Linked DNA regions of Solanum lycopersicum. The protein of the gene in region 1 interacts with the protein of each later gene in a pairwise test. Links are inferred from orthologs where the notes say so. Each region holds a gene or a part of one and is shown in the gene's direction. Other genes may lie near its edges. The genes, in order: transcription factor BEE 1-like, transcription factor HEC3 and scarecrow-like protein 23.

What was found.
Region 2: the proteins of transcription factor BEE 1-like (region 1) and transcription factor HEC3 interact in binary tests that used the Arabidopsis thaliana proteins (3 or more experiments, as listed by UniProt). The link is inferred for Solanum lycopersicum from reciprocal best matches to the Arabidopsis thaliana genes BEE1 and HEC3.
Region 3: the proteins of transcription factor BEE 1-like (region 1) and scarecrow-like protein 23 interact in binary tests that used the Arabidopsis thaliana proteins (3 or more experiments, as listed by UniProt). The link is inferred for Solanum lycopersicum from reciprocal best matches to the Arabidopsis thaliana genes BEE1 and AT5G41920.

Annotation. Positions count from the first base shown.
Region 1 is NC_090811.1:47,740,842-47,744,954, forward strand, and holds transcription factor BEE 1-like, read left to right. Parts: upstream 1-1,313; 5' UTR 1,314-1,525; coding exon 1,526-1,876; intron 1,877-2,496; coding exon 2,497-2,616; intron 2,617-2,701; coding exon 2,702-2,767; intron 2,768-3,276; coding exon 3,277-3,345; intron 3,346-3,430; coding exon 3,431-3,508; intron 3,509-3,628; coding exon 3,629-3,763; 3' UTR 3,764-3,898; downstream 3,899-4,113. UniProt on the Arabidopsis thaliana protein: Positive regulator of brassinosteroid signaling.
Region 2 is NC_090810.1:1,211,040-1,214,232, forward strand, and holds transcription factor HEC3, read left to right. Parts: upstream 1-1,578; 5' UTR 1,579-1,712; coding exon 1,713-2,564; 3' UTR 2,565-2,675; downstream 2,676-3,193. UniProt on the Arabidopsis thaliana protein: Required for the female reproductive tract development and fertility.
Region 3 is NC_090806.1:59,132,723-59,136,376, reverse strand, and holds scarecrow-like protein 23, read left to right. Parts: upstream 1-1,202; 5' UTR 1,203-1,494; coding exon 1,495-2,799; 3' UTR 2,800-3,009; downstream 3,010-3,654. UniProt on the Arabidopsis thaliana protein: Probable transcription factor involved in plant development.

The DNA of each region.
Region 1 (4,113 bases):
GTAGTGTCGGCCAGAAGATAAGATGTCCATATGTAAAAGTTATGTCGGCCATATAAAAAGTAAAGGCCAATAAGTGTAAAAGTATTTTGTTTTCTTGTGTAGACCGAATATAATAAGGTCAGGTGTAAAGTAAAATATAAAGTTGTGTCGGCCATTTGGCCAAGTTGTTAAGAATTTCTTGTATAAATAGAGGGTTCTCCCTCATAATAAAATCATCCCTGGTCCTTTTTCCTTGACAACTCTCTCTCTCACTCTTAAATTCCGCTTCCACCCAAAATTGGTATCAGAGCTAGTTCACAAAAAATAAAATATGAAAAATCCAGAGATGACAAATCTTATTTTGAAGAAGCTATTGAGCAAGAAATTTGACATGAAAGATTTGAAGCTGCAAAGAAAATCCTTGAAATGAAAATTTCAAAAGAAGACGGTATATTACATCTTTCTCCAAAGAGGTACATTGAAAAAAGGTTCTTAAGAGATTCACTATGCATATATGAACAAGCCCATAAGTATATTATTAACTTCTGATCATTTCAAGCTTTCATAGTTACCAATGTCTTAGTCTGTGAATGGGGTGGAGCACATATCAAAAGTTCCTTGTGCTAGCGCAATTGGGAGCATTACGTATGCTATGGTATGCCCAAGTCTAGATATTTTTCAATCTAGAAGTGTGGTAAGCAAGTACATGACAAACACACGAAAAAAGTATTGAAAAGTTGTCAAGTACATATTGAGATATCTCACAAGAGCTTTTGATATTGGCTTGATCTTTCAAAAAAGTGAAAGTATTTTGGCTCTCAGTTATGTAAATTCTAACTATGCAGGGAATCTTGATAGAAGGAGGTTCACAATTGAATACATCTTTACTCTTTTTGGCATTGTCGTTAATTAAAAATCGATTTTACGGTCGATAGTCACTTTATCTACAATAGAGGCATAATATATGACAGTGATAGAGGAAGTTAAAGAAGTTGTTTGGTTGAAAGGTTTGGTGGCAAAATTGAATTTGGTTCAGCTGGAATCAACTCTAAAAGGTGATAGTCAAAGCACTATTTATTTGATTGAAAATTAAAAATTTCATGAGCGCACCAAAAACTATAAGGTTAAATAACATTTTGATAAATTTGACATAACTATAGGATCACAAAAACAAATAATTTTTTTTTATTATCTTAAACTTTATGCCAAATTAAAATAAATTATTTTTTTTTAAAACAAATGAAATATGATAATTTAGCTCATTTAAAGCCAACTTCTACTGCAGGGTCCCATGAAATTGTGTACATATCCTGAATATGGTCCATATGGGGACAGAATCCCAAACCTCCAATTGGCTGGATCCCTCAAAATGCTTCACTACTGCATTCTTAATTTTTTTTTTTTTTAAAAAAAAACAAATTTGAAAAAACTCACATTTTGCCCATGCTCTATAAATATATTTGACAGACACTACTTCTCTTAACATAAAAAAAACATACAATTAACATCAACATATATTATTTTTTATAATATACAAGAAGTTGTCATGGCTCATCATTATTTCAATCCAGATATGCAAATCATTATTCCACCATCCTCTGTATTTAACACTGACACAAATTTGAATTTTCATAACCAATTTCCAGAACAAAATTACTTGAATACCATTTCACTGGAAATGTCTAATTTCAATTTTCATAAGCACTCTGATGAACATATTTTGAACCAAACCTCTGACTTCCCTGTATATTTAACAGAAAATTTCCAACAAGATATGTTCAACCTTCCAGTACCAACTAGAAATGATATAAATGAAAGCAAGAAAAGGAAAACAATTGAAACCCCAGAAAGTAGCTCTGCTTACTCATCCCCTGCAGTTTCTTCGAGAAGAAAAACCGTAAGTTAATCTTCAACTCTTTCTATTTTCTATGTAGTAAGGGATTGGTTCGCTACTCGTTAGGAGGTGAATTATTCATGCATTAGAGTCGGTATCAAACTTGTACCATGTTTGGTAGCATTTTAGTTGCTATAGAGTGTTTGGTTATAACATGTGTAAAATCCTGAGCACTTAATCCGTTTCATTTTACTTGATCTTATATCAAAAATAAATATTTTATTTTACTTGTACTTTGAGCAAATCAAGATAGCTTTATTATTAAATAACTACATAAAATAATAGTAATCAAATTTAGAGTTTCAAAACATTATTAATAAGTTTAATTTTTAAAATACATTTTTAATTAAAGATTTCTATCAGGTCAATATGAGTCAAGTAATATGAAACACATGAAGTATAACTTATGAAAAAAATTTATCTACTATGTTCTATAGAGCAGAAGATAGAATAATTAATACATTAACCAGCAACAAACCAAACAAATAAACAAAAGGATTCAAGAATTCTTATGTACTATTATAGTATCTTATTTTATAGAGTATAATTTAGTTAAATTCTCTTTGAACCATGTAACTTTTCCACACTTAATATGTACATATTTTTGACATTACAATTTACAGGGCAAAGGAAGAGGAAAGAGAGTAAAAAGGGATGAAAATGAAGAAGAGAAACTAAGGCAAGTAGTGCATGTAAGAGCCAAGAGAGGCCAAGCAACTGATAGTCACAGTTTAGCAGAAAGGGTAATTTCCTCTCCCTTTTAGTATATCCTGTTTTTTCACATATGTACTAAAAATTGACTAATGTATTTCTTTTTTTGTAATTTAGGTTAGAAGAGGAAAAATTAATGAAAGACTTAGGTGTTTACAAGATATTGTTCCAGGATGCTACAAGGTAATGTTTCTTTTTACATTACAATGTCAAATTGAAGTTTAGGATGTGGTGTTGTGGATGTGGCTACTCCTACCTTAACAAGATGTCTCGGATTTGAGTCTATTTTTGGTAGGGAGAACTTCCTCCTAATGGAGCCCTACACGGTATGAATCCAGATATAGTCGGGCTCCAATCAAGGGCGTAGCTACCCTATAGTGAAGGCGTCCAATTAGATACCCTTCGCCGGAAAATAATACCGTATTTATAAGTAATATGATACACGAAGTGATTAAATGACAAATTTTGGACACCCTTGAAAAAATAAGGTATTTTAGCCCAGTGATTTTAGATGCCTTTAAAGAGCCCTAAATGCTCACGTGTTTGAATCTCACTAACAACATTTTTTCTCCTTTTTTTTTGACACTCTTCGTGAAGTTCCTGGCTCCACCACTAGGTCCAATGGGAGTACCTAACACTAAAAAAAACATTGAGTTTAACATAATAACATTCAAATTTCAATCTAATTTCAGTCTATGGGCATGGCAGTAATGCTGGATGAAATAATTAACTATGTGCAATCTTTACAAAATCAAGTTGAGGTGAGTTTAAATGATCCAACACAACTTGTTTTCTGATTGACCAAAACACACACACAAAATGACTTGTTGTATTTGTTGGATTTAGTTCCTCTCAATGAAGCTATCTGCAGCTAGCACATATTATGACTTCAATTCAGAGACAGACATTTTGGAGACAATGCAGGTACTCCAAATTTACATAGTTTTAATTTCGATTTTGTTAGATCATACTTGTGTAGAGATTAACTTGTAATTTATCTTATAAGTGATTTGATTGTATAGATCGATATTTTTCGACTTGCAGAGAGCAAAGGCATATGAAGCAAACATGATGCAGAAGCTAAAGAAAGAAGGATGTGAAGGGATGGGTTCTAATCAAGTTGGCCCTTTAATTGACCGCACTTTTGGCTGCTATCCCAAGTTGTCTTACAACACCTAAAGATTCATTCAACTATTTTTCCTTTTCTGTTCAGTAGTATTATACATTTGTAATTTTTGTACACATGAAAAATTGGACACATATCCATGTATCAAGTCTCATAATACAACCAAACAGACATTTTTTTAAGCCTAATTTTACTCAAGCATCGTTTTGAGTAATTTATGCATTGCAGGATTTTTTTTCATCATTCATAATTATGACATTATTATTACATTATCCCCGCATAAATACTAGTGATACACTTGACCTTTTCCAAAGCTTTTTCTTCCAAATTTTTAAAGACAAACAAGGTTAAATTGAAAAATAATAAAAATTATTATTTTCTAAAAGCAAAACCGAATGCAATG
Region 2 (3,193 bases), on another chromosome or scaffold:
ATGAAAAATATTTGACCAAAAAATGTATAAATATATGCCTAATATCACTAGCTCTAAGTTTTTTTGGCTTTATGAAGTACAATTGTTATTCAGATTACTACTAAGTAGATTGTCATTATATAAGAAAAACTATAGATAAAATATTTATTGCTCTTTCGCACATTTTCGAAGATCTTCAAATAGTTGTTGTACTTGTAAAATTCACGGGTCAACACATTATCAGTTTCTAGTAGGCAAATTGATGATTCTAGATCCACCAATGTTAATTTGAGGGAAATGTTCGCATGATGAATGATTCGCATATAGAAAAATTGTATATATTTATGTGACTATATGATAATGTATATGAGTTTATAATTAAAGAGATTTGATGTAGTAATCAATGAGAATAAATATTATAGCATAACATATTAGTAGGGATAATATATATATAGAATTGACATTGAAGATTAATATGATAGATCGTCATAGATGTAAATACAAAAATGGAACGATTCTCATTTGAGAAGTATCTACATAAAATTAACAAAAATCTACGTGTATTCTATCTCATGATTTCACCAACTCACAAATATCACAAACTAATAGAAAATAATTGTGTGACTATATAGTATATTGCATATAAGTATAATTATAATGATTTGAAATAATCATACAAAAGAATGAAATCATAATTTAACAATTAGGAACAACAAAGAATAATAAATCTTTCCAGAAAAAAATGATAAATACAAATCTGAATACTTCCTATATAATGACACGAGTCTCAATTCAATAGGAATCCTATAAAAATCAATAAAAATCTGAAATTATTTTCTAATATTTTCATGCGGTATTAACCTCTAGATCACACCCAAGTCATGAAGAATTTATCAATTGATTTTGATGGCTAGCAAATTAAGCAAAACAAATAGATAAATTCTAGGGATGAAGCAAAGGCAACAAGTCTCTACTAAATGCACTTGTATACCAATATAGCAAAAGTAGGACATTTATGGCCTTTGAAACACACTCCCCCCCAACCCACAACCCTCACAAAAATAGAAACTTCTTTTTGTTTATCTATTTATTTTTGAAAATAACTTGATCTTGTGGTCCCCCTCCCACAATAATTATTATTTTAGCTCGGAGCTGGAGTATAGTTTACGATACTTTGATTCATATCATATATTTATTTTTACAATTTTATAATAGTTGTTGTTAGATCAACAACTCAAACGACTGAGCATGTTGTTGTTGTTGTTAGACTAGTAACTTAAAAATGATTACTACAATCTCAACTTAACAAATTCTAAATCTCGGCTCCGCATTTTACTTTTATTAGAGACTCAATAAAGTTTGTAACACCCCCACCCCCTTCTTCCATTTGTCCCTCTATATATTGACATATATACATGTAAATATATATGTACGAATTGTGTATGTCATAATGTATATAACTTACACCTTTTCACTACCCTACGAAGATGTACTATTTAGCCTTCAAAGGCTTCACACAAAGTACATATTCATGAGCTTTGATTCAACTTTGCAATAAGTCACCTCCCTTTTTGCACCCCTCTTTTTTTTCTTTTTCTTTTTAATTACAATTTTTGGTTAAAGGGTTTCAATAAATATGAGAAAAATATTTTCATAATGACACAAAAAAAACACAATAGATATTCTTCTTCTTCTTCTTTCTTGATATATTCACCCTTTATACTCTTCTTACCATGGATATCAACCACATTAATAAACTCACTACCTCCACTTGGGATCCAACCATGTCCAATATGGACAACCAACAAGTCTTTCGCGATCAACAACAACAACAACAACCATGCTTGTCCAGTATACCAAACGACCATATCTACCACGAACATCATCATCATCAACAACAATTTCATTTCGAACATAACCCTATTTGGCCTAGTTTTCCTCTTCAAAACCCTCAACACCATCACCTTCCCTCCTCCTCAACCCAACAACAACAACAACAACAAGAAGAAGTAGTAGTTGTCCCTTTTGATCATGTGTTAAACAACCATGTTCAAACCCTAATAGAGGATCAAGAACACGATGATCAAGACGAAGATGAAGAGGAAGAAGAAGAGCTAGGAGCCATGAAAGAAATGATGTTCAAAATTGCATCTATGCAACCAGTAGACATTGATCCATCCACTATACGAAAACCTAAAAGGCGTAACGTACGTATAAGCAATGATCCACAAAGCGTAGCAGCCAGGCTACGCCGCGAAAGGATAAGTGAAAAAATCAGAATCTTGCAAAGATTAGTCCCTGGTGGAACAAAAATGGACACTGCATCCATGTTAGACGAAGCAATTCGCTATGTTAAGTTCTTAAAAAGACAAATCCGTCAATTACAATCATCGAATCATAACCTCCCACCAGCACAGATACCAGTATCGTCATGCCCTAATAATGAAAATTGGGCAAATAATATTGTCACACCAAGTACAAAAGGTCTGATTCTTGGCTCCTCTAGTAGTACTACAACCAATAATGTTACAACTTTTGTTGGTAACACTACATTGGATCCACCTTATGAGGTAATTGGTAATTAGTTAGGTCATATTATTATTATTATTATTATTATTATTATTATTATTGTGTAGTAATTGGAATTTTTAAGAATAAAAATATTATATATAGAGGAATAATTAATTATTTGTGTATAGTGGATCATGTGAATTGTGAACTAAAAAAAATAGGTTTGTTAGGATTGTGTTGACTTAAAGGGCATGATAATCATCACAACGGTTAGAGTTGAGTTACGTATGTTGGTATATACTAGTATATTAATAATTATAGAATATGGTTTTTATCTATTTATTTTTTCTGATCATCAAAAAGTTCGTTTGGCTGAATTCTCTCCCGGGAATAAAACAGTGACGTGAGAAGAAATTGAATATGATTATACTCTTTGGCCCACCTCACACACATTTATTTATTTTTTCGATTTTCAATTTGGTATCTGGGGGTCTGGTTAAATTTAGATTAGCGTTGGAAAATTTCATATTAGGATTTAGTGTTTCCTAATAAAGGTGACTCTGTATTCAGAAGGACTTGAACTCGAGACCTCTGATTAAAGATAAAGGAGTACTTACTACTCCACAACTACTCTTGCTGGTATAATCTCACGCACTTGTTTGTGCTCGTGTGCGCATGTTTGTACAATTTGTATTATGTATAT
Region 3 (3,654 bases), on another chromosome or scaffold:
ACTTTTGTTTTATGTGCTAATATATATCACTAATATATGCTAATATCTTTAATTCATAAATTATTTATTTTTTGTCTATCCAAGATACTCTCTGGATTCCCCAATATTTTCCCAAACAAATCTTCGAGAATCCCAAGATATTGTACTAGATCAAGCTTGCCATACTTTTTCCCTTTGGGTAAAATAATAGTGACAAAGCAACGTGGGGCATTGAAGCTACTTGGAGTAACATGATAACTACTGTATTATATTTGTTTGCAAAATGGAGTATCGAAACAGACGTGACAAGCTACTACAAGCATTTCTTTACAAAATTTTCAGCAACTTTACACTTCATTCTTACGATTTATTTATTAAATATTTTCTAATTTAGTATCTTTTTTTTTAAAAAAATAAAAAGATAATTTTACTTGTTTACATAGACTTAATATTTTTGAAAAGTGTAGTGGATAATATATTTGAGATTTTATCTATTAATATGGGTAAGATGAATTCACTATCTAAATTAATGTTTTCTTAATATGTTTGTAAATTCATAATTCAAAAAATAAAAAATACAGGAGATTATTATTCATCATGTGGGGTTCATGACTTGTCCACATTGTGGCAGAGTTATATGATCCTAAAGGTCATAATTCAATTGAATTCCTTTATGAGAAAAATATATTAGAAAATAAACTAAAATTGTTTTTTATATATCAAAAACATAAATCCCTTAACATAAAATAAAAAAATGAATTTAGAAGTAGCTTAGCACGGTTCAAACTTAAGTTACTCAGTCCATCTCTAATTCACTATTTTATTCATTCGGTAGCAGATCTTTTACAATTGAGCAATTTGAATTAGCTCTGATTTGTTTAAAAAATGTTATTTGGGGACAATTCAGTATAAATTGATATAAATTTGATAACCTAAAGCATTCGTCATCATAAATTTCAAATAGTTGATGAAAAAAAAAAGTTGTTTGAAATTGACTGATTGTACAACTAGTTTTCAAATATGTGATGCCTCCTTTAAATTTGATAAAATTGCTTCACTCGAAATTCTATTATGAATTCTTCTATGTTTTTGAGTAAATATAAACCGATTCGCTAACATTTTTTTGTTTCTTGAATTTCCTATATTAAGGTTAAATATTACTCTAAAATTAACCCAAAAAAAAAAGTAAATTTATTTAAAACACCTAATAATCAAGAGGGAGAACATTTATTTCCAAGGAAACTATGTTTTTTCCCTTGGAAGAGATGTGAATATATTTATAACGATGAATGAGGGATTATAATAATGGTAGTACTAGTATTATTAATAGGAGTATAGTATTTTTATGATTGAGGAAAAATTCAAACACAAAAATACAAAAACCTCACTTCAATGTGTCCTACAAAAGATGAATAATTCCAAAAAGTCATCACCCTTTTTTTTCACAAATCCCCCTTTCAATTATCCTCACCACTCATTTTTTTATTCTACATTCTTTGCCATGTGATGTGATGAATGATCATGCTTTTCGTATCTGCAATTCCAATTAATCATACATCTTCGTATTCATCTTCCATGTCTTCTAAGCGCTCAATTTCTGAGTTTACTCCGGTCTCAGATGAACCTCAACTTCTTACTAAACGGCCCCGAAATGAAAGGGGAGAGGAAGAGGAAGAAGAAGGTGAGGAGTTACTTCTCGTTGACGCCGATTCCATAGGTCTTCGCCTTCTCGGCTTGCTCCTTCAATGCGCTGAGTTTGTTGCCATGGAGAATCTCGATGAAGCTGCTGATTTATTGCCGGAAATCGCTGAGCTTTCTTCGCCGTTCGGCTCATCAGCTGAGCGAGTCGCTGCTTACTTCGCTGAATCTCTATCGGCCAGAATTATCAGTTCTCATCTCCGATTTTATTCTCCGCTTAACCTCAAATCCCTAACTCTCACGCATTCCCAAAAACTCTTCACCGCTCTGCAATCTTACAACACAATAAGTCCGCTCATCAAATTCTCTCACTACACTGCAAATCAAGCTATCTACCAAGCATTAGAAGGTGAAGATCACGTCCACGTCATCGATCTCGACATCATGCAAGGTCTTCAATGGCCAGGATTGTTCCAAATCCTCTCCTCTCGATCGAGAAAGCTCCGTTCCATCAGAATCACCGGCGTCGGATCCTCCATGGAATTACTCGAATCCACCGGCCGTCGACTCACCGAATTCGCCAACTCATTCGGACTTCCGTTCGAGTTTCAACCTTTTGAAGGCAAAATCGGACACATCACAGACCTGAATCAACTCGGAGTCAAAATTGGGGAAACTACCGTTGTCAATTGGATGCACCATTGCCTCTACAATATCACAGGGAGTGATTTAGGTACTTTCCGATTGTTAACTTTGTTAAGGCCGAAATTGATCACACTGGTTGAACAAGATCTGAGTCACGGAGGAAACTTTTTGAGCCGATTCGTTGAGGCATTGCATTATTACTCCGCCTTGTTTGATGCATTGGGGGATGGATTGAGTGAAGAGAGTGCAGAGAGGCATAGAGTGGAACAGCAGTTGTTCGGTAGCGAAATTAGGAATATTGTAGCGGTAGGTGGGCCCAAGAGGACGGGGGAAGTACCCGTAGAGAGATGGGGCGATGAATTGAAACGAATCGGGTTTTTACCCGTTTCATTATCGGGTACTCCAGCTGCTCAAGCAAGTTTATTATTAGGGATGTTTCCGAGAGGGTATACGTTGGTGGAAGAAAATGGGTGTTTAAAATTGGGATGGAAGGATTTATCGTTGTTGACTGCATCTGCATGGCAACCTTGCGATTAAGATAGCCCATTTTTTGGTTGTTGTTTCAATTTGTAAGTTTTGGATGATGTTACAAATACCATAACAAATTGGACATACTAATAAGTGAAAGTGCTCTTTGTTCACTCTGGTCCTAATTCTGAGGAGGCCCCTACACATATGTATTTGTGTTTATCATTCTTGAAAATTTTGTTCTTTTAAGAAAAATAGTAATTGCATTGGATTAAAGAATTCTTGTCCTTTTCTTTACTAAATAATTGTGGTGGAAGATTCTATTTTGTCTGTTACATCCTCTCTATTAGACCTTACATTTCCTTAAAAAATATTTTAAATTAAAGATATATTTTATGATGGCTAAAAACTAAAAGTTCGACCAAAATAACTTTGAGAAAATGCTCTAAAATCTTTCAATTTATAGTCAGATTTTCAATTGGATACTCATATGTCACGGAGTTACATTACCTTCTAGGCTATTTTAAAATGGAGTTATTCACTCTCTAAATGCTATAGAGTGTGTAGTTCACTCTGTTGGAGAGATTGAGAGCAAAAACATTTTTTCAATTTATGCGAAACTTTTTATTTTTTGATAGTCAAATAGTTTAAATTTAATCAAAATTTTACGTATAAATTTTCAAATTTTTAAAAATGAATTTATATATTTATAAACTACAGAATAATTATTATAAGTCATAATAAATAATAATTCAAAACATTAAAAGCTAGACTTATTCAAATCTTGAAATCTGAAAATGTCACATAAATTGAGAATGAAATAATTATTTTTGGAAAAATTAGCAAACTAGTCAAAATTAACAACTTAATTAGTAAAAAACTCATTACTGTAAAAATTTTAGTTAAAATGTCAAAAATGTAATT